Oryzias latipes: one gene and its partners. The protein of the gene in region 2 purifies or fractionates together with the protein of the main gene of each other region. This does not show direct contact. Links are inferred from orthologs where the notes say so. Each region holds a gene or a part of one and is shown on either strand. Other genes may lie near its edges.

Region 1 (8,830 bases), on a different chromosome or scaffold from region 2:
AATTTAAAAAGTTTAAATAAATAAATAAATAATGAGTTATTTAACATTAAGGAGTAGTTACATTTATTTTTCATTACATTTAGTTACATGTATAAGTTATATCTGGTGCTTTGAGGACAGCCGCCATGCTGATGTGGCCCTCAGTGAAAATGAGTTTGACACCCCTGACATAGACTCTTCATTGGAAGCTTGAACGCGCCTCGGCGAGGGTGGTGTGAACGTAACTTCAGACTGACTGCAGGAGGGACTGAGTTGTCTAGTTATAATGGTGCATGCCTTTACTGCAGTGTCTGTGTTATTTCTGCATGCTCTTTTTCTTTAAACGGTGGAGCAAAATGCTCTCTCGGATTACCACAAAACAGCAGTTCAAGTACTTGCATGAGCATCTGACTTGTAGTAAAAGGAGTTAAAAGACTGATGTGAGCAGCAGCTTAAACACTGCATCCAAGATGGCAGAGACTGTGGCACTCTGCAGCCTCACAATGATCTCAGGTGAGAACAAGAAGGCCCGACTCTCCAGTCTCTGGTCTCAGCACTTTGGTGGAAGCAGCATTTTATGCTGTTAAATATTCATTAAGTATTGACTTCTGCTGTCTTCTAAGGAAACTAAAATACTGTCCGTACAAATAGATGAGTCGTTATTTTTTACTACTAATGTTTCCATAACAACTAGATTAGATTAGCCACATATGTGCTGACTTGCTAATTGACTTAGCATGCTCCTGTTAGTTGATTAACACGAACAAAAAAAAAAAAAGCCAAGATTCCAACAGCTATGAAGACAATGGAGGACATTCATACAAACAAAGATCCTCATTATATACACTGACATGTAGACAAGAAGAATGTGCAAATTCTCTTTTGAAGTCTGGAAGCAGAATAATACATTTCTGTGATTTTTTGACATAGCTAAGACATTAGAAACACGTGAAAACTACGAAGATTAAAATGGAATTGCCCAACATCAACGTACCTTGATAAAGGAGACATTGGCAGGAAATTGCCCGGGCTGAGGGGTGGGTGTTTCGGTCAAAGGAGGTGCAGCGATGGGTCCTCTGGAGATCCGTAGAGACACGGGAAAGGAGCAGCTCACTGACTGATCAGCGCTTTGCTTTTCACAGTCTCCTTGTCCTGTCTCTCCTGTTTTGTCATCTTGCCTTGGAGTCCCTACATCATCTGTGTGACAGAAGCCATTGTCACTCTCAGCCTCCGCAGTGCCTCTTTGTCCTCTCTCTGCTTTGCAGTGCTCCTCTCTGCGCTCGGTGTCCCTGTGCTTCTCGTCTGTCCCCGTGCTGACATCCTTGTCATTTCTTTCTTCCTGTTTAGCAGCTTGTCTGGCCTCCTGGGTTTGCAGCTCAGACAGATAATGCCTAATGTTTTTACGAGCTGCATGGATCAACCCACCATCTATATCGAGCCCCAATATGCGTGCAGGCCGCAGCATTTTGGCAATGTAGAGTGTTAAGTGACCTGAATTGCACCCCAAGTCCAGCACATCTTTACCTTCAAACCACTCCGGACGCAATACACGAACACGCGGGTCTTCACTGTTGCCCGGGTTGCGATAACCATAATATTTATTGTAGTTTCCATACTGGAACTTCTTTTGGTGTCCTTTTGCCTGACTGTGAGGTTGCTGGTACGAACGTGACCCCCCTCCAGTTTTGGGACCAATTTTTGGTGTGTGAAAATAATTTTGTGCTCCGCCTGTACCACAACTTTTGTCATTTGGTGCTAATTTACCGCTGGGAGTAGAATGGGTGACAGGAGGATCAATTTTGCCTGAGTTGCGCCTTCGTCTGCGTCTTCCGGCGTGGTGGCTTGGCCCCCCCGACAGGGGGCAGGTATATTCTTCGACAGGTACAAACAGCGTCTCATCTTTGCCGCTTGCTGCGTTCTCAGCTGTGCTCTCGTGGGAATCTGCCGTGACACTAGAGAAACTCATGGACTCTTTAGAAGAATCGAGAACCGAACAAGAGCCTTGCGTACCTAAAAGTTGTGTGGAGGAGCTCATTTTGACCTCACTTTTTGTCGATTCGGAGTGGTTCGCCTGCGTTATTGGAATCCCACTACCAACTCCGCCTCCTCCACCACCCCCACCATGATGTCTGTTGCGATGCCTTCTTCTTCCTCCGCTCTTGTAGGGGGACACCAAAAAGCAGTTGTCTGCTATCCCGCTGTTCAGGTTCAGAGGATCAGTTATATCTCTCGGAATGAGGATCTCCACTGGATCTCGACTCTTTGCAGGAAGTGGAGAGGATTTTGGTGTCTCTGCGTTAAGTGCCCTGTTGACCTCCTCATCCAGGAGGCTGTTCAGATTAAGCGGGTCAAAAATGTTGCCACCCAAGAGAAAGTTGGTGGGCAGGACAGAGTCACTCTCGGAGATGGCTCTTCGTCTCCTCTTGCTCGATGTGGGATGTTTGAAGTTAGAACTGGCTGTGTAGCGCCGCTTGGTTAATTTCGTTTGCTGTTGCTGTTGTTTGGAGTGAGGGAAGCTGTTCCTGCGATTGATGCTGTTCTCGCTCCCTCTGGCTTTTTGTCCCGCGCTGTCTGTGCTCGTGTGCTTTGGTGAGGCTGCAGTGCCCGGGACAGGACAGGCAGCTGCAAAGTCATGCGTGGCTGCATTTTCCTCCATCATCACGGACACACTGCTGTAACCTCCAGTACAGTCTGAGAGCTGCAGAGATGGCGTTGACCTGGCCTCTAAACTGCCAGTTTTTATGGCGTCCTCCTCGACAGACATCTCTGTTAGTTTCCAGAACTGTTCATTGAAACTTGTTTGTCCTTTGTCTGAAAACAAGGAAGAATACAGCTGTTAAAGGACCATCTGATCTCTTATAATCCCTTGAATAAAACACCGTAAACATTAAATTAAGTTCCAAAAAAGTGCCAAAACAACCGATAGGTAGATTTTTGTTTAATTGCATTACAAAGAATGCAAAAAAAAAAGACAATGATAATTGATGTTTTTGCCAACAAAAACTTTAAATACCTAATCTGATGAAAGTTTTTGTGGCGTTTTTCTAACAATGGAGGACAAGTATAAAGACAATATAGCTAAAAATTTTGTTTCTGAGTGTTCCTTTATTCCAGTTGTTCCAAATCAGGGGCAGATGAAAAATGCCATTGGAAAAAGCTTGAAGCTGTGATGTGAAACCTACAACGACAAGCAACAAATTTATTCATCCTAGATAATGATATAGGTTGTTTTTTTTTGGACTAAAAACGACAAAATTTTAATTAAAAGACCACTGAGAACACTTTTTAAAATAGACTTTAAATAAGTAAAATCATAATTTGGGATGTCATCTGCAACATGCTTTGGTCAAAAATGCTAGTACAGACAAAACATCTTTCTTTTTTAACCACACTGTTCCTGCTTGGTTCATGGTAGCATATAGAGGGAGGTTCCACCCGTCTCTGCTGCTCTACCTTATCAGAGATACATAAGGTTTATAGCATTTGTGCCACCTGATTAGAAGGCACAAATATTCCTCATGCACTTCCTAACAAAACTACATTCAAACTTAAACTAACAGAGAAGGGACAGAAGGTCATCATATTCTCCAAAACCAAAAATACACCTTTAAGATGTGACGTTGCTATTGTTGTTGCTATTGTTTTTGTGCCTGTGTAGAAGAAACATGTTTGTTCTTCCACTATTCCTACTGTTTAGAGCCTAAAAGAAAGGTTAATGCTTTTGTTGTTGTTTTCAATTGAAGAGTTAACTTTTAAAAAAAAAAAAAAAAAAGATGACAATCCTATATTTGTATATCTACAACTTCCTGGATAAACATTTCTGCAACTTCATAATTCATTATCAGCTTTACATTAAAAAAATAGATTTGGATGTTACCAAAACTAAAGTTTGAAGTTCTCAGAAAGTGGTTTTATAAAACTGTAGGATATTGTCATGATGATGTCATTTGCAAAAAAATCCAAACAAAATATTTGGATTTTCAGTGTTTTCGGTTTTAGCCTTATTTTAAAATCATGCAAACTGCATTATCTATGATTGATAAAAAAAAAAAGAATTGATTTGAGATTCATCGACATTGTTTTAAGGAAACTTCAATCTGTTCTTTATGGTTGCATGCATTAAAAGTCATCTGGGGAGTCAGTGTGCAGATTCTGGCCTCCATAATTAAGTCAGGAAAGTAATAAGATGGACAAAACGAACAGCAAATAAAATCATAAAGGAGAATCCGGGCATATTGAATATATAAAACATATAATTTTCTTAATAGTAAATAAATTACTTTGTTTTTAGCTGAGTGTTGCATTTTATTATATTAATTTTAAAGGTCCTACGGTCCGCGGCAGATTTTTCGTTAGCATTGCCCTCCTGACAGGCTGACATCTGAAGCGTGTCCACTCGGAGGTTGCTGACCTGAGAAGTTTCTGAGTCAGAGTCTGGAACAGTAGTTTGGGTTAGCATGCTAGCCCTTAGCTCCTCCATCGTGGGCCAGAGCTCTGAAAACGTCGCCTAAACGTTTAGCTCTGGAGCAACAGTGGTGATAAATAAACGACCAAGTACCCACCTTCATGCGCTGACGGGTGAATCCAGAACAAAAATAAACAAACAAATCCCAAGTCCGGTACGGGAAAGTGATACTATGTCCCAGATGGCCGCCGAACAGTGTGGTCACCGTCAGGATCCCAGTGTCACCCCGCGGTGGTGCTCTCCCCGCCTCCGGCCGGGCCGTCTCCACCCCGCTCTGCTTCCACTCAAGCTAACGTTAGCCTAGCTAGCACCCCAGTGTCTCCGAGCCCAACGGCGCTCACGGTTTACACGCAAAGCACGGCCTGTACCCCACTAGGTCTCTCTTGTTTCCCCCACTGCCTTGTCGACTTGTTCGGTCAACTCCAGGCGGACAGTTTGGTGAATAAATGACAGCATTCGCTGACGAGAGTCGGCATGGCGGCGCATCCGGGCTTCGAGTTGTAAGCTTAACGTGACCGGGGCGGAGATCTGTGAGCTCGCGCAAGGTAGTGGGAACTCTTTGCCATTAGATTCAGACCCCTAATCCCAGAAGAGGCCGCGAGCGAGTGGAACTTTTAATGACAGTCAGCAAACACATTTTAATGAACAAACTTGGCCATTGTTTTGGTCTAAAAACGGGACTATAAAGGCACAGATGCCCAACAACACAAAGTAGGTCCACATTGAGCAATTCTGCGGCCCTGACCACCCTCCCACCACCTCATCCTTCATCCATCATTTTAACAGTAATCTCTCATCTTCAGTATATTAGTAGCACTTTTTAAAGCATAAAATAAATCTTATTGTCAAGAGAAAAAAATTATAGCAATACCATTAATTATCTTCTGTCTGTCTGTCTGTCCGTCCTTTAAGTGAAATAATGTGATAAAGTGCTTAAAAGTTTGGAAAAAGCAAAATTTCTAATAGTAATAGATTTAATTTCAGATCTGTAATTGAACGAGAGTATAAAATAATACTGACTGTCAAACACCTCAACAGTGTGTGTTTAGATTTGTTTAATCTTTTGCAGCAGCAGTCAAATGAATAACCTTTGCTTAATTCTAAGTCATGGAACAGATCCACAAGTGGCCTCCTCAGTAACCTGCTCACAACTTTACTTTGGATTTTCTTGAAAGGAAGATTCTTAGCAGAATTTCAGATTGATGTAACCTTTTACATTAATGCATGATCGCTGCTTATAAGAAATTGGCCAAACAGTTGTGAGATGCTGTCTGATACAAAGCTGTGAAAGTACAATAGTTTCCTGTAATATTTGTAACTATCTAACTTGGGAAAATAAAGTGAATTTAGGAGTTATGAACTTTCTCATCATTTTATATTACATTTGTTTTCTTTTTGTAAAGGGCTATTTCTTGATTTATAACAGCTTTCTTTTACGGCAGCAAATTTCAACACTTTCAAGCAAATTCATTACAGTTAGCAGCCTGAAATGCTTAGTTTGAAGCCAAAAGACATTTTAACACATTTTTAAAAAGTGTCTCAAATTTGACATTTAGCTGATGTAACAGCTATTTCTAAATTAAATGACCACAATTAATTTTTCATTTTACCACGCATGAAGTGATATTCATGCTAACACAAGCACAACTTTCTAAGTAGCAAATGAAAACATTAAATATTTGCTTTGAATAACTTGTTTTTTTTTCTTCCAAACCCTTTTTTTTGCATTTGCTACACAAAGCTCTCCCTGTATTTTGATTGAAAATCATCACTCTCAACTGTTTATAGATCAAGCCATGTGATTTTCTGTCTTACAGCCTTTATTACGTTGAGGGTAAAATCAAAATAGTTATTTTTTTAAAAACAAATTGGCAAAATATATGGAAGGTACAGTAACAGGTAAATGAAAGAAAAAAAATCAATGACTACAATAAACTATTCTTTCTTGCAGTAGCATGTTTTTTTGTACTCTACATGTTATGTATTTTTATTGTTGTAGGTCAAATGAAAGTGTACAACTACAGTTGTACACATAAGCTTTAGGGTTGTTTTCTTCTACATACTTCATATTTCCAACACAATTATGAAGTATTTCTGGTATTTAAGTCTATTTGGGTGTTAGTGTGAGATATGACTGCCATCATGGACACCTTGATGTTGCTTCAGTGACCTTTTACATCTGTTTTCTGAATGGCCACAAGGGGGCGATCAAATCTTTTTTTTTTACCATTTTTCTAAACAGTTTTATCCTGCGTTTAACACTGGATGTTCTTTCAGAATTTAATTTTTACGCGTTTTTTAAGGCTATATTAGTTTTCCCTTTCATCGTTGTAAGTAAACAGACTCGATTTTGATTTGTAAAATAAAATATCACTTAACTTTGGATGTATATGTTGAGTTACTGTAATTGTGACAGGCACCAGCACAATGTTTGCATGCCCTCCAGAGGGAAAACTGCTTATGTGCATGTGGTCAATCGAACATTTCAAGTTCATAAGTAAATTCTTATCCAGAGTAAAATCCTCCAGTAATATTCAATAAATGCTTGAATGCAGCTGTAACATCAGTGTTATCTCTCTGTACTGTAGGCCTGGTTCTGATGGCTATCACAAAACCCCACAAAACTCCACAAAAACAGAAATTCAAATCATTGCATCAATTCTTAAAACAATAATACAATAATAACGACTATCAGTGACTTATACATGTAATATTAATAATGCAGAAAGTTTGATATATTTTTCCCCTAACCCTTAACATTATGCTAATATAAAACTTTTTGGAAGACAATATAATAAAAATAAATAACAAAGTAACATTTGGAAAAAGGGAAAAAAATGTTTCAACGGGTGTTTTATTATCTCTGGTAGTCTGAGTGTGGAGCATGCTCCTAATTGCTTTTCAAATCAGTGCAACAGACTCTCCGGTTTAATGAGTCACCCCTCCTTTGTAGTCTCTATGGAAGAAAACTAAAACGAGAGGGTACCTGTCCCCCTCCTTTTCTGTCACCCTCTTTTCTCATGGTAATGTGGGTGCGGTCTTCAATCCCGGACACCATCTGCCCTTCCTCAGGGTCTGCGCCTCAAGCGCTCTGGACATATTCAATTGTTTGTGTGTGTCCAAGCAGAAAGTGGTGAACACATATGGTTCTTGAGGCCCTCTGTGAAGAGCACGAGCCGGCTGGTCATTATCCTGCGTGTGACAGAGGGAGGGGCCGGCTCGCGTGTCCCGTGTGCGGTCACATCAGAACAACCCCCATGTCTACTCTGTGAGTTCACACTCTGTGCCACTGTGAGTGACCGTTGGCTGCTGGTCAGCAAAGTGGTGATTGTGTCATCTTTCACGTGGGATCAAAAGCGGGAGTGATTGCCTTTTAAATGACCTGCCTGATTTGAACTTACGAATGATTCCTATGAGTTTAGGTAGACAAATGTGAACAGTGTGGGATGCTTTTCTAATATTGATATTATAAACATACATTTGAATAAACACCTAAAAAAATGCTGCAAAGGAGAATGAAGGCGACAAAAACATTGAAACTGTCAAACTAAGTATTCTGCAAGTGCAGTTAGATATTAAAGTAACTACTTCATTCCTAACAAAGAAAACACATTTAGTAATCTTCTTGAAGTCTTTAGCTGTTAAAATAGGAGTAAACTGTTAATGGTAACACAATTGTGGAAAAAAAATGAAAGGAAGTATGTCAGATTTGTGATATCACCCCTGCAACCACTGCAAAACTAGTTTTCTACCTCATTTGAACTGACGAGGTGGTCCACCAGTTAACGTGCACCACACTGACACACAGATTATGACTTTCCATCAGAGCTGCCCCCCTCGTTTAAAAAGCTGCATTCTCTTGGCTGCACCGAGATTAGTTATTGAACTGTCCAAGCAAAGGGGGAACAAGGCCGCTTCAGAGCCACGCCACACAATGAGCCAGCTGTCAGGGGGAGGGGCTCGATCAGGCCTGTGTTGTCATGGACAGCATTTTGCGTTGCCCTTTGGGAGCTGATCGGTGCCCCCACGCCCAGGTCTGGTTAATTGTTAGATGGATCGGACGCGAAGAGTGCGTGACGGCTTATACACTAGAGGTAGCCCAAAAAATAGGAAAAGAACACCAATCTTAAGAGAAAAACATCTCCAAAAGGTAGCAAATCTAGCAATTTATACTTAAGAAGAAATCTGATAAGATATCAAAATCTAAAAGCAAGATGTTTTACACAAGCTTTCAAAAGAGGAAAATCCTGTCCGATAGAATTACTTAAAACTGAATGTTATACAGCCCAATAATACGTTTTTTTAACCAGTTTTAAGAAAATGATTTGTATTATTTTGCGTTTTATGCACCTAAATGTAGTTCATTCTGATTATAGTGATAGTATT
Region 2 (7,156 bases):
CAGCCAAACTGATTGGACGGCGTTTCATAATACAGATGGACAACGACCCAAAACATCCAGCCAAAGCAACTCAGGAGTTTATTAAAGCAAAGAAGTGGAATATTCTTGAATGGCCAAGTCAGTCACCTGATCTGAACCCTTAAGCAGCATTTCACTTGTTGAAGACTAAACTTCAGACAGAAAGGCCCACCAACAAACAGCAACTGTTTGCCGCTGCAGTAAAGGCCTGGCAGAGCATTCAGAAGGAGAAAACCAGCATCTGGTGATGTCCATGAGTTCAAGACTTCAGGCTGTCATTGACAACAAAGGCTTTTCAACCAAATATTAGGAATGACCATTTGGTTTGCACTTATTTAATTTGTCCAATTACTTACCAGCCCATGAAATGAAGGGACTGTGTTTAAAAATGTTTTAGTTTTTCACATTTTTCTGCAATCTTTTTGTTCAACCCATGGAATAAAAGCAGAAAGTCTGCACTTCAATGGCATCTGAGTTGTTTTATTTCAAATTCACTGTGGTAATGTACAGAAACTAAATCAGACAGAATGTGTCTCTGTCCAAATATTTATGGTCCTGACTGTAGGTTTACCTGCAGCTGTTTTGTCATCCAAGGCTGTCTTCAGGATCTGGACCTGGTCCTGCTCCAGCTCCAGACCACGGACGTTCAACCGTCAGCATGTTACTGTGCTTTCATTTCCCCCAAATGTCTGCTTTTTATTGGTCATTTCAAACGATTTAACAATTGAATGCAGCTAAATAAAAAGAAGCGTCTTCAGAACGCCGGTCTGCCTCTGTGCTCAGACTTGGCACAGTTCAGGAGTCCTTCACACGATGACGGGCATCAGGACTGATGATCTCCTGGTTCCTTCGCTGTCCGTTTGTGTGCAGATGGCTTCAGCATTAAGAGGCCCATCTGTCTGCTGGACTCCTTCAGAATGGCTGCTAGTTGTTGTCATCCTGTCGCCACACATGCACCCCCTTCCCAGACGTGACAGTGGAGGAGCTTTGGAACCAAAACGGTAATCCATCATCGGAGCAGAACCGGCCTGTGGTGGTTTGATGGTTATGAACACGCAGCATACATGTGTGGAGGAACGTGCACATGTATGCACTGCACAAAAACCAAATCTGGACGGCAACTATAAAGGAGAATATTTACTACAAACCACAACTTTTCAAATAACATGAATGCCACTTAAAGCAGATACATGCAAACTAACCTAAAGACATAAACATAGGCAAGGCAAGTTTATTTGTATAGCACAATTTGTACACAAAGTAATTCAAGGTGCTTCACAAAACAGAAAAATGCATTAAAATCACAATACATCATAGAAATAATCAACGTAAAATGTACTTTAAAAAAAAAAAAAAAATTGAAAATTGATTTAAAAAGAAAGGAAGGAAAGGAAAGAAAAGTGCAGATAGGACCTTTCAGTCATATAAACGGCTAAACAGAAATGTTTTAAGTCTAGATTTGAACATGAACACAGAAGACGCCTGTCTTACGACTTCAGGGAGGCTGTTCCAGATTTTAGCTGCAGAATATTGAAACGCTGATTCCCCTTTTTAGTTCTGACTCTGGGAATCAACAGGAGGCCGGCCCCTGAGGTCCTCAGAGTACGAGATGGTTCATATGGCACTAACATGTCAGAGATGTACTTTGGTGCTCGGCCATGGAGAGACTTGTACACAAGCAGAGCTGCTTTGAAGTCTATTCTTTGAGGTACAGGGAGCCAGTGCAAAGACCTGAGCACAGGACTAATGTGATCATACTTCCTGGTTCTGGTCAGGACTCCAGCAGCAGCATTCATACAAACATACAGACACAAGCTGGAGCAGAAGAAACACCAGTGACCCAAAAAGGCTTTCAGTAAATCATTCATTTAAAACAAATGAACAATAAAAGAAACTGTTTGAAACTTATCCTGTCCAACAGCTGAAGGCCTCTTTGTTGGACAGATTTGACTGTTACAGTGGGGGTTCATGGATCCTCAGACAGACAGAGTATATTTATATAAACCCCTTTAGGATTTGAGGCTAAGCTTTATTTATAATATTCATATTTGTATGTATTCCTTGTTGGACTAGACGGAAAAGGAGAGAGAGAGTGGGGTGTTAGAGGGGGGGTAAGGGGTGGGGGGTGGGGGGCTGATAATACAGAGTCATAACATAATATCCTCAGTAAATTGCATGACTTAGTTCACACATCAACCAATAGTCTGCACACAACTGTTTACAGGATGGAAGTCTATTCATACATTCATGATGGAAGATTTATCTCACAGGACTTCTGCACCCAGACAGACACACACTAGATCTGCATTACCAGTATTATTGGAGGGGGTGTAAAAACAACCCCCACGCCCATATTTGTGCTAAAGTCAATCAGCAGTTACTGAGGCTTTCTCCTGCTGCCAGCTTCAGTTGCACATCTTGAAGGCGTTCAGCTGTGATGCCAGAGGTGAGCTGCTGATGCTGCATCCTCCTTCAGAACTAAAGGTTTTCATTCCAAATGACAGCTTTGTTTTGGAACAAACTCCTTATCGCTCATCACTTTACCACATCATCGAATCATTCGGTCCTTGTTACAGGGCCACGCCTCTGGTTTTGTGGTCACCTCCTGTTCTGTCCTTCGTCCTGGGAACAGATGTTCCAGTGTCGACCCTCGTCTTCTTCCGGTCTCTGAATCCAACGCCGCCGCAGCAGATCTCTGACCGACCTCACTCAGGAAGCCTTTTCCTGCAGCCGGTGGGTCTGCTGAGCAGCCCTTAGACTGAACAGCCTCTGCTCTGTCCGTCCTCTCAGGTTTGTGGCTTTGCTCTTCCGTGCACACGTCCATCCATGATGGAATAAAGACGTCGCGTTCTGATGCCGTCACGCTAAACGGTCTCATCAGAATCCAGCCGGGAATACACAGACCTACAACGGTCCTGTACTGCGGTCTGGCTCAGTCAACCGTTTTCCGGGTCGTTGGACCCAATTACCTTCAGGGGTTTCCATGTTTACGTGCTTCCACATGTAAACAAACACGTTAGTTTTCCTTCTGGCTCAATTGTAGAACATGCCACAAACCATGAATCCAGGTAGCTCCTCCCCCTCCTAAACATCCCAAAGGAACAATGACGGCGTTTAAGTCAAAAGCTCAGAGGGTTTAGTGTCTGCGGCTCTCATCGTCACTTCCTCTCTAACCGACTCACACAAGTAAAAACCACTTTCCTGCTTTGCATTCAGACGTTTCCATAAATGTTCACGATTGTGTTGCTTTATTACAAAGAACATTTGAATGAAAACAATCAGTTCAACTGAAAAAGCTACCAGATTCTGGATAAAGGAGCATTTCTGTCCGTTTCATTCCTGATCCCATAAAACCTGAACGTTTGATCATAACTGGCCTCACAGCAGAGTCTCCGGTCAAACTCGGTCCAAGACGTCCAGTGGGGCTAAAAGACTCGGTCGAACTCCGTCTGACTGGTCGTGGCCGGGTTTCGGTTCTGGTTGGGCTGCTGTTGGGGGATGTGCCCCCTCCGTCTGGGCGGGGCCAGGTACTCAAACATGGACGTGTTGTGAGTGGACAGCATGTTCTTGAGGTCTGAGGGCATGGGGTCGGACCAGAAGAAGTCGTGGTTCAGGGCGTCGTCGCTGTCTATGCGCTGAGCCGGGTCCAGAACCAGCAGCTTGTCGATGAGATCCAGGGCGTAGGCGTCCTTCACGTAGGCTTTGAGGCGGTCCTTGACCTTCCTCTTCTGGCCTTTGGGAAGCTCCATTTTCTGGTACAGTTCATACTTTTTGTCCACGCCGGGCCACACCTGGAGAAACAGAAATGATTGACAGCGAGCTGCTGCAACGCAGAGCCCCGCCCCCAAAGACCACTCGCCTCTGCAGTGATGGAGCCACACAGCTGGCTGATCAGGGTGAGCTGGTGCTGCTCCGTGTTGCCTTGCATGATGGGACTTCTGGTCCACATCTCCGCCATGATGCAGCCCGCCCCCCACAGATCGATGGGGGGGCCGTAGTCGCGCTCCCCTGCAGGGAAGGAGAACAGGAACGCGATTGGTTTCCTGTTGAAGCCGTCTGCTTCTCGACTCGTCAGCCTCTAAAGACCCGTTTCCCTGACGACCACGACGTTTTCAGCCATGTAACCTGAAACCCGCGTCGTTTTCCGGAACCGTTTCTGCAGGAGTCGGGGCCGCAAAAAGGGGCCATGCAGCATCTGGGTCGCATAGGAGCCCCAAACCAGAGCTGTGAAAAGTATTTACAGTCCGCATTTTTTAATTTTACAGCTGTGCACATATATTTACATGATCAGTGACAGACACTCCTCATGTCTGGAAGACGACATTTCTATTAGGTCTGGTTCTTCTTGTAACAAGTTCAAATGTAGAAACCGATCTACGTCTGAAGTACTGAAGCAGAAAGTGTCCGTTAAAACCTTTTGGTTCTCTTGTTTCTTCACTCCCAGCTCAGTCAATCCTCCATTCTGGCCCCAAACCCTGAATCCAGTCACGTCACTTTTTAAAAAAAATCATTTCACAAATGAACGACTGGAGTCGCGTCGTCACCACGCATAATATTACTACTAAACACTCTCCATAGTACTGCTTCACAGTGATACAGCACAAGATGGTTACCGGTCCATAAACGCACAGGAAGCTTTAGGCTCCAACATGTGTCACGGATAACCGGATGAATAACCGGACCTCTTGGTGTCGTTGACCCGGATCTGTTTTCTAGACTGCAACGCTGGATTTCTACCAGACATCCTGAAACACTGAGCCGTGTCCAAACACGGCTTTTATTTCTGATCCCCGATCCACACGGATCCCTGCCATGGTCCGGCACACGCGTGTACAGTGGCGTTCAGCGGTACCGCCGTGACCCAGTTTGAAGGCTTGTTGTCCTGGCGCCGTGGCGGGACAAAGACGCTGCTGTCTGTCCCAGTGCGACGGGCTGGTAGCAGCAGGGAAGGTGGTAAAGCCGGACATCGTTGCTCCGTTTTTAAATATTCTTTTGTCGTTTCCCAGATGAACCAGAAGACTTCCTGGATCTGGGTGGTTTTTTACAATGGGAATATCGTGAGTTCAAAGGTCGGTAATGTTTAATAAATAGACCTCGATGAACAAATGCTTGGATGTGATGTGTGTACAAGTACTTAAATATATACTATGAAGGCTTTTTTCTTGTCGTTTGGTCCCATCTTTCTTTTTTTGCTGATCTGCTGCAGATTTACTTTCCAACAACATAAATGTGAAATCACCAAGACAACAGCAGGAATGTTCCGTTTTTGCACAAAGCCCTGAAAGACGACATTCTAATGTTTAAATTCCACGTTTCCAGCGTTCCTCAGCGGTTTGCGGCGTTTACCTAACAGCAGCTCTGGAGGTCTGTACCACAGCGTGACCACGCGGTTGGTGTAGCGGTTCCCCTGGCTGTTCTTAGCCAGGCTAAAGGCCCGGGCCAAGCCAAAGTCTGCCAGCTTGAGGACTCCGTCTCTGGTGATGAGGACGTTGGCGGCCTTCATGTCTCTGTGAAGGATCTGAGAACATGGAGGACATGCCGATCAGGTCTGTTCATCAGGTAGGGTTCATCTAGGCCAGCCTGACTGTAATAATGAAGCTGTTACACTAAAACACGACAAACTACAACAGCTGGGGAGCCGTTCCTGTGTTTACGCTGCTGTGTGTCGTCCCACCAACAACAGGTCGACAAATGTTTCTACTACAAAAGCCAGGAACTCCATAGATGGTGGACTCTGACCTCATCTGTTCATGAAAACCAGCAGCTGATCTGAGACTCAAAGTGGAAAAGCATCAGAGTATCCGTGCCACAGACATGATCTGTTCTTCTATTGACTTTATCCACTAGAATCAGAGAAAAACGTAGAAAAGTATGAAATATTGACAAAAAACAGGCAACAAAAACTCCCATCACCCACAGCGGGAGGCTGAACTTCTGCCACCATTTCAATTGTGATGTCATGTTAAACTGGCCCTGCCACAGACTGGTGACCTGTCCAGGACGCCCCCCGCCTTTGCCCACACGTGGCCGGGATAGGCTCCAGCAGCCCCGGGACCCCGAAAGGGACAAACGGCAGAAGAACAATGACCGACTGAATGTTAAACCATTTTATTTTGCATTCAAAATGTTAAAGTTCTTTGACTTTTCCAGAAGGTCTTTCAAACTTTTCAAGGACCTAGAAATGACATTTTCCAAAACCTTTCCAGGTTCTTCATGACCGTATGAACCCTGACCCACGGCCTTGCAATGCTAGTAATGTGTTGGGTGAAGATTTTTAAATAACCTTTTCAGCCTCAATACTAACAACGTTTTGCTTTAGAACAAACGGAACATTTCAGAGTTACAGTCCAAGTGAAGTTGGAGGCCAAAGTAAGAACCCCACCTTGTTTCTGTGGATGTAGTACAGCCCGTTGAGGAGCATCTGCATGACCTTCTTGATCTCCGCCAGCGTGAACTTCACGTTGGCGTTGCTCAGCAGCCCGGCCAGGTCGTGTTCACAGAAGTCAAAGACCAGGTAGATGCTGCCTTTATATCTGTTGAACTGAGTAGCTGTTGCAGGAACAACAAAGAAACGTCAACCAACACACCTCAGGATTACGGCACACACCATGACCCAAAGTATGAACCCCTACACATCTGAGGTAGTGCAGGGTCAGGGGGAGTTCAGACTGGAAAGGTCCGGTCCAGACCCAGTCCACTAAATTTGGTCCAGATCAAGTCCTGAACTTTGCCTTTGGTCTGTATTCAGGCTGAATTTCAACCCAACTTTTCTGATTCAAACCAAACCAGACAAAACCTCACAGCAGAAGATCTCTTCAGTCATTGGCCAGGAATTGCGAGGGCGGGGCAAAGCAACGAGAGAAAGAAGAATAGAATCATTTTCACTCCTTGTTGGGATAGTTCACTGATTCAAACTTTATATTTCAGTTTTGAACGTCTGTATCAACGTCAGGTTAAACACTTTGGTTGGGTGGAGGCGTACCGATGTAAAGTGTTGCCAAGACAACGACTAAGAAGGAACGCTGAGAAGAGTTTATGACGTACCGATTGTTGGAAAACAGTAAGAAGTGATGTGTGTCACGTTAAAGGTTGCTCTAAAGAGTGAGTTGCTGTGTCCCGGACCGCTCTGTCAGACATT
Region 3 (8,166 bases), on a different chromosome or scaffold from region 2:
TTAGGACTTCTGTTCTTCACATGTGAACAAAACCCAGCAGACAGTCTAGAAGAGACAGATGGGAGAATCTCAGCTCTGAAAAGCAGCACCAGAGCGGCGCTTCACAACCTGTAGCCTGTGAGCCACACCCCTGAGTTTACTGCTGAGGCGCGTCACAGTTCTGCTTTGAGAAATGATTTTTCAGACTTTTTATGCATCTGGGATTCAGTCCCAGATTTGACAACGTTCTGCCTTTTTCCACCAGACCCCGGAGTGAAACAGGAGCTTCTGCTGAAGAGCAGAAGGCTTTATGGAAAGACATGTCTGATGGTCATCTGACCACCACTGCAGACATCAAATAAGAATGTGGTATTAAAAAAAACCATACAGAATCAAGAATCCAGAACTCAGTAGCCATAAACCAAAAAAACAAATCCCTCCTTTTTTTCAGAATAAAGCAATATTTCTCTCTGCTCTTTTTAATTAACTGGCTGTGTTCATAGAGGTGAGCAGCGTGAGAGCGCTCTCTCATTATTCCATGTTTGCACAAAGGTATGGATTTGTACTCATAATGAGCAGTTTCTTTGTACATAACGTCTTAAGTTGAATTCAGATTGACGTAAAAAAATGGGGAGATTGGAAGTTGTCAATTTTACGTCCTTAAATCTATAGACGGTCTGTGTGAACATGCCTCAGAACAAACTAAGAGTTCAGGATAAAAGGAAGACGGTGAAGTGCAGTCGTCTTCTCGGAGTGCAACAGCACCACCAGGTGGACCCAGCGGGGACTGCAGCCCCTGCTGTGTTGGCAGGGTGCCGACCAGATGAACTGTGATGCCGATGAGGCGTATTTGTCTGTGTGCAGATGAACGAAGTGAGGGAGGTGATGGAGGCGGAGATGAGGACTCAGCTGCGGCGTCAAGCGGCGGCTCACACGGACCACGTCCGAGATGTGCTGAAGGTCCAGGAGCAGGAGCTGCGAGCTGAAGCTGAGCAGGTGTTCGCACTGAATCACACTGGACAGGGACATCAGCCCTACGGGGCGCGTTGGACTAGCCCTTGTGCTATCTGTCCCACAAGACGGATAGCACAAGGGCTAAGAGCTCAGAGACTGGCCAGTCCATGAAGACATTAGCAGCTCTTCATCATCATCAATCAACAAAATAAAGTAAACCATAAACGTATAAGAAGTAGAAGAAGCAGATCTTAAGATTTGTGGAGAATATTGTCTTTGATTTTTTTTTTTTTTTTTTTTGTCCACACCATCCCTCCCTGATTGTACGGTTTGAGTAGGGATGAATACTGGTTATCTGGTACTGACCAATACTTTCCAAACCGCTCTGGTGCTTTAACTGTCCCCAGAGCTTGAAAAATTAACAAAAAAACCCCAAATATGCCAGTATTTTCCAGAAACATGTGATTAAGCAGCGTGACGGAGGTGAATTTGCCTAAGAGGCTTTATCTGATTCTTTCTGGCAGTCTGCGTTGCATCTCTGTTTTCACACGCGCAGAAGTTAACGCGTCGTTCACGTCACTCTTACCCATCAGGCTGCTAATTCCAGTCTTTTGCTGTGAAGTTCAGCCAAACTTTCACTCGCTTAAACCTTCAATATTTGACTGAAGCTCCGCCCACCCTTACGACCACACCCATTCTTATGTAAGTCTGCCCACAATCACTGGAACGGTAACATGATTGGCTAGAATGGCACAGCAAAACGGAGTAGATTGACACGTCCAAAACAAAGCACTGAAGTGAACCACGAAAACCTGTGTTTGTTTTATGGTACTGGTAGTGCTACATACAGTCAGGACCATAAATATTTGGATAGAACTTAGTTTCTGTACATTACCACAGTGACTTAAATAAAACAACTCAGATGCCATTACAGTGCAGACTTTCAGCTTTTGGGTTGAACAAAAAGATTGCATACAAATGTGAAAAACTTAAGCATTTTTTAAACACAATCCCTTCATTTCATGGGCTCCTAAGTAATTGGACAAATGAAAGAGCTGAAAACAAAATGGTCATTACTAATATTTGGTTGAAAACCCTTTGTTGGCAATGTCAGCCTGAAGTCTTGAACTCATGGACATCACCAGATGCTGGGTTTTCTCCTTCTGAATGGTCTGCCAGACCTTTACTGCAGCGGCTTTCAGTTGCTGTTTGTTTGTGGGCCTTTCTGTCTGAAGTTCAGTCTTCAACAAGTGAAATGCTGCTCAATTGGTTTGAGATCAGGTGACTGACTTAGTCATTCCACTTCTTTTCTTTAATAAACGTGTAAGTTGCTTTGGCTGTATGTTTTGGGTCGTTGTCCATCTGTATTATGAAACGCCGCCCAATCAGTTTGGCTGCATTCACCTGGATCTGCGCAGACAGTCTGTCTCTGAACACCTCAGAATTCATTGGGCTGCTTCTGTCCTGTGTCACGTCATCAATAAACACTAGTGTTCCAGTGCCACTAGCAGCCATGCACGCCCAGACCATCACACTGCCTCCACCGTGTTTTACTGATGATGTAGTGTGCTTTGGATCAGGAGCTTCTCCACGCCTTCTCCATACTTTTCTCTTGCCATCATTCTGGTAGAGGTTGATTTTGGTTTCATCTGTCCAAAGAATGTTTTTCCAGAACTGTGCTGGCTTATTTTAGATGCTTTTTAGCAAAGTCCAATCTAGCCTTCTTATTCTTGAGGCTTATGAGTGGCTTGCATCTTGCAGTGTAGCCTCTGTATCTACTTTCAAGCAGTCTTCTTTTTACGGTAGACTTGGATATTGATACGCCCACCTCCTGGAGAGTGTTGTTCACTTGGTTGGCTGTTGTGAACGGGTTCCTCTTCACCATGAATAGGAATCTGCGGTCATCCACCACTGTTGTCTTCTGTGGACGTCCAGGTCTTTTTGTGTTGCTGAGTTCACCAGTGTTTGCTTTCTTTCTTTCTCAGGATGTACCACACTGTTGATGTTGCCCCTTCTGATACTGTAGAAATTTCTGGCATGGTTTTTTTCTGTTTTCTCACCTTAATGATGGCTTCTTTCACCTGCATGGAGAGCTCCTTTGACTGCATGTAATCTGTTCACAGCAAAATCTTCAAAATGCAGCACGAGTCCTCTAATCAACTCCAGGCCTTTTATCTGCTTCACTCATAATGACATAACAAGGGAATTGCCCACGCCTGCATATGCAATAGCATGGAAGTCAATTGTCCAATTACTTACGGGCCCATGAAATGAAGGGATTGTGTTTAAAAAAAAATGCTTTAGTTTTTCAAATTGTATGCAATCTTTTTGTTCAACCCATGGAATAAAAGCTGAAAGTCTGCGCTTCAATGGCATCTGAGTTGTTTTATTTAAAATTCACTGTGGTAATGTACAGAAACGAAGTTAGAAAGAATGTGTCTCTGTCCAAATATTTATGGTCCTGACTGTATGTCTGTACCAGCATCAACGTATGTATGTGGCACTGAGTTTCAGTACCTGTCCCTAATGTGGGGCTGCTGTGGGTTCTGGTTTCAGATTCTGAGCAGTAAACTCCTGGAGCAGGACACTCTGCACCGTCAGCTGACCCAGGAACAGCTGGACAGCTTCACTCTGGACATGAATGCTGCATATGCTCGCCTGAAGGGGGTGGAGGAGGCCATCGACAGTAAGTGACACAACACACACAGCAGCTCGTTGCACCAGTCCAATCTCCGGACGTGAACAGAACAGCTTGAATGGTTTGCTGGAACTGCAGCGGGCGTCTCACAGACGGTTGCTCTGACTGGTGGCTGTGCGTTGACCTGCAGGTCACCTGGTGGCGGAGGACGAGGCCCGCAGAGCTCATCAGCTGTGGCTTTCTGTGGAAGCCCTCAACCACACCTTGAAGACCGCCGGCACTGAGGAGCCCAGCGTGCCTCTGGACAGCGCAGCCCAAATGGTGCGCGACAGCTGCAGGCAAGATGACTTCGCCTCAGCCCTGGCAGAGGCTCTTCCTGCAGAGTCGCTGTCACGCGGTGTGTACGGCGAGGCTTCCCTCAGAGCCCGCTTCAACTCCCTACGGTCGCTGGTGCTTAGGGTGGCACTCATCGACGAATCCCACAACTCTCTGTACCAGTACTTCCTGTCCTACCTTCAGGCGGCACTTCTCTTTGAGGACCAGCAGGCGGCCCCTCCCACACAGCTGAGCAGCGAGGACTTGGACACGTTCAAGCTTTTGTCATATGCGAGCTACTGCCTGGAGCACGGAGACCTGGAGCTCGCGGCTAAGTTGGTGAACCAGTTGAAGGGTGAATCCAGGAGGGTGGTGGAGGACTGGCTGACGGAAGCCAGACTCACGCTGGAGACCAGGCAGGTGGTCAGCCTGCTGTCGGCTTATGCCAATGCCGTAGGCCTTGGCACCACCCAGGCTCCGTGACCCTCTGTTGAAGAGGGGCCTGGAGGCCTTCCAAAGAGCCCCAGTTTTCTTGAAGGATGTCGGTGAAGAACAGCAGCTGTCCAAAGCTTGGACCAGGGGGTTGGGGGAATTGAAATGGTCAGATTGCAAAAGAATAATCGTCTCATTTCAGTAATATTTTCTGTCACAAAACAAGTTTCCTCGTGTTAATCTGTAATCACACTGTGTTCCTGTGAATAATACACAAACTCAATAAATTGTGAACCGGAAAGCTGGCACTGTCTCTTTGACTCTTTGGGGCTGGGAAGACTGAATCTGGAATAGGTAAGCAGACTGGTGTGAAGGAATCAACAGTGGGGGCAATTATCATAAAATAATTGAATGAGAACTGGAAGACTTTCAAACTGCTGATGATCATCCTCGATCTTAGGGGTCATGTCATGGGGTCTAAATGATCACGAGCGGTGAGCAAAAATCCCAGAACCACACTGGGGACCTAGTGAGTGACCTGCAGAGAGCTGGGACCAAAGTGACAAAGGCTACCATCAGTAACACACTACACCGCCAGGGACTGGACTCCTGCAGTGCCAGACGTGTCCTGCTAAAGCCAGTACATATCCAAGTCTGTCTAAAGTTTGCTAGAGATTATTTAGATGATCCACAAGAGAATTGGGAAAATGTCCTGTGGTCAGTTGAAACCAAAATAGAACTTTTTGGTAAGAACTCTACTCCTCATGTTTGGAGAAGAAAGAATGCTAAAGTGACATCCAAACAACACCATACCTACTGTAAAGCATGGGGGTGGAAACATCATGCTTTGGGGCGGTTTTTCAGCAAAGGGACCACGATGACTGATCCAGAGTAAGTAAAGGATGAAGGGGGGCATGTAAGGACAGACAAATGACAAATTGTTTTTTCTTGTGATCCACAAAATGGACCCAACTGCTGGTCAATAGCCAGAACTAATCTGCCCACATTTTTTCAAGTATGTATGTAATGTTCATTCATTCATCTTCTTCCGTTTTCCCCCTTTTGGGGTCACGGGCTGCTGGAGCCTATCCGGCCACTCGTGGGCAAAGGCAGGGGACATTCTGGAAAGGACACCAGTCTGTCGCAGGACGACAACCCCACACCCATGCACACACACCTATGGACAATTTAGAGTAACCAATGAACCTATGAAGCATGTTTTTGAACATGTTTTGTGTACAATGTTGTATTTTAAATTATACCTCTTATGTGTTATATATATCAGTATTTTGTTCAAATAAACAAGATTTTATCAAATTTAAATCCATACATTTCGGTAAAAAAAAATCTACCCATGGGTAGGGTTGTATGTAAAAAGGAAGAGATACTTAATGATACCGAGACTGAACCAAATATCCGCCTCAACCAAAGCGATATTCTAATTTATGGATTAGTTTTTTTCCCCCCTTTAAATAGGAAGTTGCAATTGTTTGGTTACTTCAACTACTGTTGCATATTCTTTAGGTGAAACTGGGAAAAAATTTTTTTAAAGGAATTCTTCATATGTCAATAAATATCAATGATGATTGAAAAAGCTGTCTCATCAAAATGGCGCAAAGAAAATCTGCTCGTTTTCTGCTTTGTCATCAATCACCTGCGCATGCGTATTGAAGTGCCGCAATTAGCTATTTTAACAGACGCAAAATCTCTGCGAGAGGAATTCCAGAAGATGGCGACCGCCGTAGTGGTAAGTATTGATTACTGATAGCTGAATTGTTTGATTAAAAAAACAAAACAAATTCAACCGAAACTTTATTTTTTTGGTGTTCGACACGCGGACGATACTAGAAAATATGCGACACTAGTAAGTATTGCCTGACTTACTTACGAGGAAATTCGACCGTTTCACTTCGGTAGTACTAAAGTTAGACTACTTTATTTCTTTTTAGAAATGACGCAGTTAAAACTTCGCTTAAATTCAGCGAGTTAAGAAGATGGTCAGACAGACAGCCGCTGTTAACCGTCTTCTTAACTCGCTGTAGCACGTTTTGCCTGCCTACCGAAAGCGTCACACCGCTCCCTCCGCGGGAGCGCGCAAACCTCAAACGAGAATCCCCAAGTAAAGGATTTCTACGGTGAACTATCTCTTGTTTCATCATACGTGAAGGGATGTGCAGAAAGGTGAACAACCGTTCACACCGGAAAAGTATGAGGTCGATAGTTTTCAGTCACGTGGTGCAGCGAACAGTTTTCCAAGATCACGTCTGCTTAGTTATACCAGGCTTTGAGCATGAAACATCAAAAAACTTGTCATTATTTTGGAGAAGTTTAGCTTTATCAAATTCTTACAAAGAGAGAAAAAAGATTTTGTTATAATGTGATTTAAAAAAAATATCAAAATCAAGAAACTTGAACTCTATTAGTATTTGAATATTTGGACCTTCATAAGGTAGATCCTTCATATCTCTAGACATGTCTATCTGTTCATGTTGTTTTCATGGCAGGTCATAAATCTTTTTTTTCCATTGATGGTCCTTTCCCGTCTCTGTTTCTAATATTATTAGTTTGTCATTTATTATTATTATATTCCTTATTAACCACTCCTCATTTGCATCTGGTATTGTCCTCTCACTCCTCAAAACTGCTGCTGTCAAATCCATCCTAAAGAAATCCTGGTTCAGATCCTAATTCCTTTAATAATCTCTGTCCTATTTCTAACGTCCCCTTCATCTCCAAAATAGTCGCCTCCCAACTTCACCATCATCCTAATCAAAATGATCTCTTTGAACCCTTTCAATCCGGTTTTCGCCCCCTTCGTAGCACTGAAACTGCCCTTATAAAAGTCCAGAATGACCTTCTCCTGGCAGCTGATTTTGTACTCATCACCATCACCTACTTCAGTGTTTTTCAACCAGACCATCGTGCCGTGGGAGATGGTCAGGTGTGCCGGGAGAAATTGCCCTCATTAACTGATCTAAAAACATTTCCCATCTCCAGGAAATCAGCTCTGTGTTCATCCAAACAGGCCCTGATAAAACACTGAGTAGTTAGGAATATGAAAGATCATAAAAGACTTTTCTTTGTGATTATTTGATTCTATTAAAGACATTTTGATAAGAATGATGGTACTGCGATTTAGCCGCAGCGTCAGCTGATTTCTGAAAAAGTCCCGCCCCTTTAACTGTCTCCACCAATCATTCTTGGAGGCTTAATCAAATGTCCTCAGTCTGACCAATCAAAAGTGGTTAAAGTCTTCACTTCCTTGTTCTGATTCTGTTGATAAAGTCTCCCAGTTCCAATAAAAATAGCAACTAAAGCTCGTCTTTAGCGGTGTAGCTTTCCACAGAATCCGGTGTCAGACCGTGGAACAAGTGAACAAAATAATGAAGCTCAGAGACGCCAGTCCGTTTGCGTTCGGTGGCTGTTTGCACTACATCTCCCATGATGCATTGGGTTAAAATGACAGCATCTCAGCGCACAACCAGTCTCTCCTCTTAAACATCTTGAAACCACAACGAACATGCATCAGTTTTTAAATCTTCTAACTTAACTTTTAGAAAAAACAGCTGCAACTTTTCTTTTAGAAAAAACAGCTGCAACTTCCAGCTTTTTCTGCCACAATTATCACAAAAATGCACGTGTGATTGTGGAGGTGCTGTAGATCAATACAGACTGAGTTTTTTTTTTTTTTTTTTTTTTTTTTTTTTGGATGCTGGTGTGCTGCGGGATTTTTGATAAGGTTTAAAGTGTGCCGTGGCTCAAAAAAGATTGAAAAACACTGACCTACTTGACTTGAGCGCGGCATTTGACACCGTGTCTCACTCCATCCTCCTTTGGTGTCGAGTCAA
Region 4 (7,676 bases), on a different chromosome or scaffold from region 2:
AGTATATTTGGTTTAACCCCCCAAAAACAATGGGGACATCAGTGTAACTTAAGAACATAAGAAATCTTCTGTTGTCCAAGTGGTATATCAGGAAAAATGGGTCTGGGTCTTATGGGTTAAGCCATAGAGCTTGCAATTTAGTAGCATTTAATGTAATTTATTTATTTGTCAAATTTCCATTCTGAAACCAATTATGGTTATAAAAAACTGGTTTCAAATAGTTAGTGATTTAAACTGCACATAAAATTTGTAAATTAAAAAGAAAAAAGAAAAAATACAACAGTGGCTATAAAGAATTGGTACACGGATTTGATGTATTTATATTGCCAGTCCCAGGAAATGTTGGTTTGTGTTCGGGATGCGACAATTCACTTTCTCCACGATTCGGTTCAAACTTCAATTTTTAGGTCAATATTTTGTTGCAACAACAAAAAATTACAAATGCAGAGAAATCATTCTTTTTATTTGCTAATAAGCAAGTAACAATGAAGAAAAAACTTTCAGTTGGGGTGGTGTAATGTAATAAAATTATAAATCCTTCTTAAATTTAGCATGTGTTTGAGGCTTTCTACGTAAACACGTAGCGGTTAACCTTCCCTACAATTCTGTTCACTGGTGCAACATGTGGTCTGGTGTGAAACCAGGAGTTGAGGCATCCCTTGTGGATGCATATAAACATTTCATTGTGTGGTTTTAATGTCTATATCTGTTCATTTTCTTGGTTTTTGTTGTTCCTGTGTTGTGCCTTGAAGCTAAAATGACAATATTGATATACTTTGTTTATATCAAGTTTTTGTTGAGTTGTTTTTATAGTTGCAAATATAGAGGTGGACCAAAAATGGGCAGAAATCACAGGAGTTGCACAATCTCTTACCCAGTTAGGAAAATAAAAACATTTAAACAAAGATTTGTCATCAAGGTCAACAATTACAAGACTCTTCTAGGAGGGCTAGAGATTATAAAGTTGAAAATCAACCAAGTGTAACTGTATACAGATTGATAATGGGTTTTTTTGTGTGTGACAGATTTGTTCAGTATAAAGCCACCTCTCTAGAGAAGCAGCACAAACATGAGCTCTTGACTGAACCTGACCTTGGAGTAACTATTGACCTCATCAACCCAGACACTTACCGCATAGACCCAACCAGTAAGTCTCCATCTGTCGACTTGTGTCGCATTCGTTTAGTGGACATATTTGGCATATCCAATGTCTGTGCACGCTGAGCCCATGCTTTATTGTTTTAAATGTTCAGTACTGTTGGACCCTGCTGATGAAAAACTGTTGGAAGAAGATATTCAGGCTCCTTCCAGCTCAAAGAGGTATGATTATCAAACATTTGGCTTAGTTGGACATATGATCATATAAATCTACTTTTCTTTTTTTAAATAAGGTCACAACAGCACGCCAAAGTGGTGCCATGGATGAGAAAGACAGAGTACATCTCCACAGAGTTTAACAGATATGGTGTTTCTAACGAGAAGGTGGAAGTTAAGTAAGTTATCATAGATTCATAGAAGGATATAGCGGGACATCCTGCAGTTTTTCTTTGTTGCTGTTGACTGAAGTCAGTTGTGTTTTGTTGTGTGTAGAATTGGTGTGTCTGTCAAACAGCAGTTCACAGAAGAAGAGATCTACAAGGACAGAGACAGCCAGATTTCCGCTATCGAGAAAACATTCGAGGATGCACAGAAATCGGTATGCAGACTTCTTACCAACACGTGCATGGCCTCCAAACCTGAAATTGAAAAATATCAAGAAATGCAAATGAATACACACCAGTATGGTCTTGTTTAGCTTATTAAAATTGATTGTGTAGCTTAAGTTTTAGAGACTTGGATCAAATCTTTTTTTCAGTTACAGTACATGCAGAAATTCAGTTCTGATGTGTAACAGCATTGTAGAAATTGCAAGGGAATGCTAGAAAATTTGGTAAAGGTCACGCTGGTGTGTGTATATATGTGTGTGTGTGTGTGTGTGTGTGTATATATATATATATATATATATATATATATATATATATATATATATATATATATATATATATATATATATATATATATATATATATATATATATATATATATATATATATATATATATATATAAATATCTTGGTAAATCTAAAGATGTTTTTTTTTTTTTTTTTTTTTTCCTTTCTGCCACAGATCGCACAGCACTACAGTAAACCGAGAGTTACTCCTGTGGAGATATTGCCAGTTTTCCCTGACTTTAAAGTGAGTTTTACCACAAGATGAAATGCAACAGTTAATATTTTGGTAATCTCTTTTGAACATTTAAAATCACTTGCTGCAAAAGGAGAAACTAGAACAACTAATTAAATAAGATATGTGTATATATAGGGAAAAAAATAAGAAATGGTCTGTCCATGTTTATGTTCTTTTAATGATTTGTATGCATTGTGGCTTTCCTCAGATGTGGATCAACCCATGCGCTCAGGTCATCTTCGATTCTGATCCAGCTCCTAAAGACATATCTGCACCAGCAGGAGTGGAGATGATGTCCCAGGCGATGATTAGGTACATTCAGAGTTTTTATCCTGATGGTCTCTTTATGAAACATAAACAAACAATTGTTTTATGATAGAGGAATGATGGACGAGGAGGGGAATCAGTTTGTAGCCTACTTCCTGCCCCACGAGGAAACACTTCGCAAGCGTAAGAGAGACTCCGAGGAGGGAGTGGAATACATGGCGGATGATGTGTAAGTGGAAGAACGGCATTGTTAAAAAACATCTAGATGTTGTTCCAAAACAAGATCAATCTTGAGACTTTTTTCGTTTCAGTTACGACTACAAGATCGCGCGAGAATACAACTGGAATGTCAAAAACAAAGCCAGCAAAGGTTATGAGGAGAACTACTTCTTCATCTTCAGAGATGGAGATGGTGTTTATTACAACGAGCTGGAGACCAGGCGAGTAGAAAAATCTCAACAAATTCCTTTCCATATATTTTTAGTTAAATGTAAAACTTGTATCACTTGGCTGATGTAGAGAAAAAGTAGGGCAGGATCTTTGTTTTCCCAACAGGTTAGAGGTTCGATAAACAGTTCAGTACTTGTTTTTTCTTAACTTTAACTTTGACCTTTAGGGTGCGGTTGAGTAAGAGAAGAGCCAAGGCTGGAGCACAGTCCACAACAAATGCTGTGCTTGTTTGTAAGCACAGAGATATGAATGAGAAAGAGCTTGAAGCTCAGGTAAGGTCCTTGCTCCGTTTGTTTGTTTGTTTGTTTGTTTGTTTACACACACACATCTTTCAGAACAGCAGTTTATTGACAAAGGATCAGGATTTTTATGTTGCATGACACAAATCTCTTATGAATGATGTCGTCTTCATCATCAGGAGGCACGTAAAGCTCAGCTTGAGAACCATGAACCTGAAGATGAAGAGGAAGACCTGGACAAAGACATGCAGGACTCTGGTAAAGTTTCTTTTTTTTTTAATCATGCAAAGGATTCTGTAGTATTTTTTGTAACAACTGCTTTATTTTGAACTGTAGGAATTACTTCAGTTGCAATGTCAGTCATTTTTTTCATTGTTTTGTGTTTTTTTCTTTTAGGTGATGAAAAAGAGAAAGGAAGTGGCAGTGAGGCAGAGAACTCCGGCAGTGAATCTGAGAGGGAAGACGAAGAGCGGGAACAGAGCGCAGAGGAGGACGAGGACAACGAAGCCAGACGGAAAAGGCGGAGGAAGTCCAGTGGCAGTGCCAGCGAAAGCGGCGAAGAGAGGACCAGGGAGATGCGAGACGAGGAGGAGATCTTCGGCAGCGACGACGACAGCGATGACAACGAGCCCAAGAATTCGGCCAGAAGCAGCGGGGACGAAGGCAGCGATAGCGAGGAGGAAGGGCAGAACCGAAGGGGCACCAGGAGTCGCAGTGCCTCTCCAGCGCCCAGCAACCACAGCAGTGACCACTCCGAGGCGCAGGCTCAGAGTGGTAGCGGAAGCGAAAGAGCCTCCGACTCCAGTGATGCCAGTGACAGTGATTAAAACCTGCAGGCTGAAGAGCAAACCCTTTGTTCTCTGTGTGTTTGGGCTGATGGAGCTTATATGCATGTGTCCTTCCTCTGTCACCGAGCACAGTCGCAGAATTTGGCGCTGGAGCTCCATTAGTGTAGCTCCTCGCATCTTTACATAAGATTTTTTCTTGAATCCACTTTTTTATCCCTGAGATTTCACTTGGGTTACATTCATTCATTATCTGTTTGTACGCAAATCCTTTGTTGCTTGACCTTCAATGCAGCATAAATTTGTTCAATTTGATTTTGACAAACTGATTTCAACTCAGGCATTGAAACTGATAATAAATTACTGGTGACATTTTCCAAAAGTCTTGATTATTTTTTCTTTTTTTTGGAAAATACAACACAATCGAGCAGAACAGCTCATGACATCAATGACATTTGGTTTTAGTTCATTTGGTTTTAGATTTACAAGAACTTGACGACAAAAAAAGAAGAAAATATGAAGTTAAACACTTTAAAGGTGATGGAAAACAAAGTGGTTTAATCACTGATTTTAATTATGCAACAAATAAAAGTGGTAGTTGCGGTTGACAATGATGCTGCCAGACGATGCAGATTCAGCGAAAAAACGCCAGCTGGTTCTTCAGCCACTCTTCTGTCAAGTCATCGACATTTCTGGTTTCAAAGACCTTCCAGAGCAAAACAGTCACAAGTTAGGTTCATGCAACTGCACGTCAAACCAAGTGAAAATAGGAATTACATGTTATAGTTCTTGCAATTATACTTGATATTGCAAGAGTCAATTTGTTTAGCACATGAATGTTTCTTGGACTAAAAGAATAAAAGCTGAAATCTGAAAAAAAAAGACTTTGTAACAATAAGAGAATTAATAAGAATTTTTGGCTCTTTTAAGCTTAAAAAATTAAAAAATGAAAGTAATCGTAAAAAGTTTTACTTCATAAAAAATGTGATTTTTAGCAAGAAGCTGAAAAGGTTTTTATTTAATAGTCAATTTAAGTTGTCAGTTTGAATCCCACCATAATATGAGAGAGCTCTCTTAACATGCAGCCGCATTGGAAATCATTGTTTACCTTTGTGAGGTCTGCAGATTGCACGAGTCGATTCTTGCTGCCTGCATACATCATCTGCTGCTCTGGCTTACAACCTGGTGACAGCATGGACAATTTCTGCTGATTAGTCATTGATGAATAATTTCATATAAAACAAGAGGCAAACACAGCCGTAAATGTGTTACGTGGTGTTTATTAGGCAGATATAACTTTGCAGATAAGAAAAATCCTAAAAAGTCTTGCAGTTCAGTCGGGGGGGGGGGGGGGGGGGGACAATGGTATAAGCATCAGTGCAAACAGAAACTGTTGCAGAATTTTGGAAAATTCAAGAATCTGGAAAACTGCTAAATATATTTTGCAAGAACTAAACATACTTAGACAATTTTTACATTCAGAGTTTTTAAACTGTTTTTTTTATTTATATATATTTTTTGATTCTGTCAAAATGTGGGCTTGGAAACTAGAGCTAGAAATTATTTGATTGTAAATGTATTCTTTGCCAACAGAAGCTGTGATTTTGATATTAAACCTCCTGTTTTGTTAAAAGAGATTGCTTACCCATTGGACTGGAAAATATGAAACAGAGGGGATAAGACACCCTTCCATCAGCATGGACATATTTGTAGCTGTAGACAATAAATGTTCACGGTGGTCAAGGAAATACAACTTTTATTACAAGTCTTACAATTTAATATTTGAATACTAGACTAATATTTGTTTAGTGTACTAGAACAAAGATTAACAGCCTGACAGAATAAGAGTTTAAGGTTAAATAAATACGTTCTTACTCTTTATAGTCAATATAGATATATTGTAAATGAAAAGTATTCCTTTAGTATACTTCTTACACTACATGTACTATGATTTAATTGCTATACGTATACTCAAGTACACTTACTGAAATAAACTTCAAGTGAACTACTTTTTTTCTACAGGTAGTTTGAAAAAGACCCTACGTTCCAGGACCCTGTGAAAAACATCTACAGTAAACGAATTGACGTCTGCCAGTAAGGATATCTGGGTTGGCGCTCTGGAAGCTCATTTCTCAACTCCTCCATGGAAATGTCCTGGAAGACAGATCTGAGCGTCAGGTGTTTTCATATACATGTGTACCTTCACACACTCACACAGTAACCCTGGCCAAAGCTCTCACATATCACTGCATTTTGCTCATATCCCTAAAGTGATCTTTACAGTAGTGATCTGTAAGCTCAGTATGCATGATTGGACAAAAAATGATAATGTTGTAATACTGTAGTAAACATAAATAACAAATCTCACCTCGTACTCCTCTTCCAGGATAACAAGTTGTTTTTTCATGTCTATTTTCACTGTAAAAAGGACAATCATTTCAATATTACACTTTTGATGGTGTTTGGGTTTAAGCTGAGTTGTTAACTGACAGTAAAAACATGCAAGTATTTCTCACACTTACTCAGTATAGCAGCATTGTTGGTTTCTTTTCGAAATCTAAACTTCTTCAGTTTTTCTTTCAGACTTTCATCCACTTCACAAACAACCAAGGAGCTCGACTGGAAATGTCAAATATGCACGAGAAAAAGGTCAAACTGTGTGACGGTAAATTAAACATTATTTATTTCTTTTAACTTTTTATGCTAAGATCAAAACATCCTCCAGAAATGGAAATAAAGGGGCTGACAATAGAAGACATTAACAATATCTTTTTAAACCTAGATAGTTCTTTTTTGTGTGTTTTCTTTAAGCGTTAAAGTTAAAAAATGCTATTGTGACATACTGGGGGCAGGAAATGCACTGGAGCAGAGTGCAAAAATGCTGTTTCCTGTTTGAGAGATATGGGGGTTGGTTGACTTATGAAAACCCAGAATAAGTCTATGTTATTAAATATATGTTTGGATATACAAGTAGGCTTTGGGGAAAGCAAATCAGCTTAAAGTGGAAAGAAATGCATTGTCTTGTCTCTGCTTCACCTACCATCTTCGAAGAATCTGTCACTGCCTCTTGTCTTCAAAACGAAACCGCCTTGCAACAAACTGCTTTTAGACTAAGAAGACATCCCCTTTTACAGGACCCGGTGAGGGCAGGTTCAAAACAGAAGAGGGCTTGTTTCCTTTTTTTTTTTTTTTTTTTTTTTTTTAATTAAAGTGCAGCTGTGTGATGAACAAAGCCGTATTTAAGCATATTGCATTTTAAGAAAAAGAAAAAAAACAAGTAGTTTTAAACTGGACTAGATTAAGCTTTATTTTAAATTTTTTCAAAGGCATCTCTTGGCCACGTTAATAAGAATTTTGATTGAATAAAACTAAAGATAAATGTGAATGAGCAACAAATGCATTCTAAAAAGCCAGGCCTTGGAAGAATCATCATTTCAGAGACCTATTCAAACAGGAAATCTGAAGCCAGATTTCTTTACAGGCAAAGGTGCGCTTGATTTATTTACCCAGATGTTCAGGGACAGTTTTAGCATCATTGTTAGTCACTTGATCTGTAAAGCTACTTTTTGGGTCCAAAGAAATAGACAGTTAAAATATGAAATAAATATATTTAAAACGAATTAGGACTGAGTTTATTATTATTACATTTAGATTTATTACCATTTTGTTTGGGTTTATTAAATTGAGTCATTAAAGAGACTTTCTTATG

The links.
Region 1: the proteins of cdk9 (region 2) and mepce purify together in Homo sapiens (affinity purification with mass spectrometry; 10 studies listed by BioGRID and IntAct, counting the BioPlex papers as one, with this or other methods). This does not show direct contact. The link is inferred for Oryzias latipes from reciprocal best matches to the Homo sapiens genes CDK9 and MEPCE.
Region 3: the proteins of cdk9 (region 2) and immt purify together in Homo sapiens (affinity purification with mass spectrometry; 3 studies listed by BioGRID, with this or other methods). This does not show direct contact. The link is inferred for Oryzias latipes from reciprocal best matches to the Homo sapiens genes CDK9 and IMMT.
Region 4: the proteins of cdk9 (region 2) and paf1 purify together in Homo sapiens (affinity purification with western blotting; 3 studies listed by BioGRID and IntAct, with this or other methods). This does not show direct contact. The link is inferred for Oryzias latipes from reciprocal best matches to the Homo sapiens genes CDK9 and PAF1.

The regions. Positions count from the first base shown.
Region 1 is NC_019872.2:14,590,581-14,599,410, forward strand, and holds the start of mepce (7SK snRNA methylphosphate capping enzyme), read right to left. Parts: upstream 5,017-8,830; 5' UTR 4,542-5,016; intron 2,791-4,541; 5' UTR 2,744-2,790; coding exon 974-2,743; intron 1-973. UniProt on the Homo sapiens protein: S-adenosyl-L-methionine-dependent methyltransferase that adds a methylphosphate cap at the 5'-end of 7SK snRNA (7SK RNA), leading to stabilize it.
Region 2 is NC_019870.2:30,292,229-30,299,384, forward strand, and holds the end of cdk9 (cyclin-dependent kinase 9), read right to left. Parts: intron 6,568-7,156; coding exon 6,401-6,567; intron 5,537-6,400; coding exon 5,365-5,536; intron 4,027-5,364; coding exon 3,878-4,026; intron 3,810-3,877; coding exon 3,444-3,809; 3' UTR 3,238-3,443; downstream 1-3,237. UniProt on the Homo sapiens protein: Protein kinase involved in the regulation of transcription.
Region 3 is NC_019868.2:4,716,137-4,724,302, forward strand, and holds the end of immt (MICOS complex subunit MIC60), read left to right. Parts: intron 1-843; coding exon 844-975; intron 976-3,489; coding exon 3,490-3,619; intron 3,620-3,761; coding exon 3,762-4,369; 3' UTR 4,370-4,623; downstream 4,624-8,166. Other genes in the region: eukaryotic translation initiation factor 4E-1A, read left to right, coding at 5,979-6,065. UniProt on the Homo sapiens protein: Component of the MICOS complex, a large protein complex of the mitochondrial inner membrane that plays crucial roles in the maintenance of crista junctions, inner membrane architecture, and formation of contact sites to the outer membrane.
Region 4 is NC_019871.2:11,068,603-11,076,278, forward strand, and holds the end of paf1 (RNA polymerase II-associated factor 1 homolog), read left to right. Parts: intron 1-1,025; coding exon 1,026-1,147; intron 1,148-1,253; coding exon 1,254-1,320; intron 1,321-1,391; coding exon 1,392-1,493; intron 1,494-1,590; coding exon 1,591-1,696; intron 1,697-2,166; coding exon 2,167-2,235; intron 2,236-2,434; coding exon 2,435-2,538; intron 2,539-2,605; coding exon 2,606-2,722; intron 2,723-2,804; coding exon 2,805-2,933; intron 2,934-3,109; coding exon 3,110-3,215; intron 3,216-3,361; coding exon 3,362-3,440; intron 3,441-3,578; coding exon 3,579-4,009; 3' UTR 4,010-4,349; downstream 4,350-7,676. Other genes in the region: glia maturation factor gamma, read right to left, coding at 4,602-4,673, 5,076-5,149, 5,613-5,695, 6,072-6,121, 6,336-6,385, 6,490-6,586, 7,008-7,010. UniProt on the Homo sapiens protein: Component of the PAF1 complex (PAF1C) which has multiple functions during transcription by RNA polymerase II and is implicated in regulation of development and maintenance of embryonic stem cell pluripotency.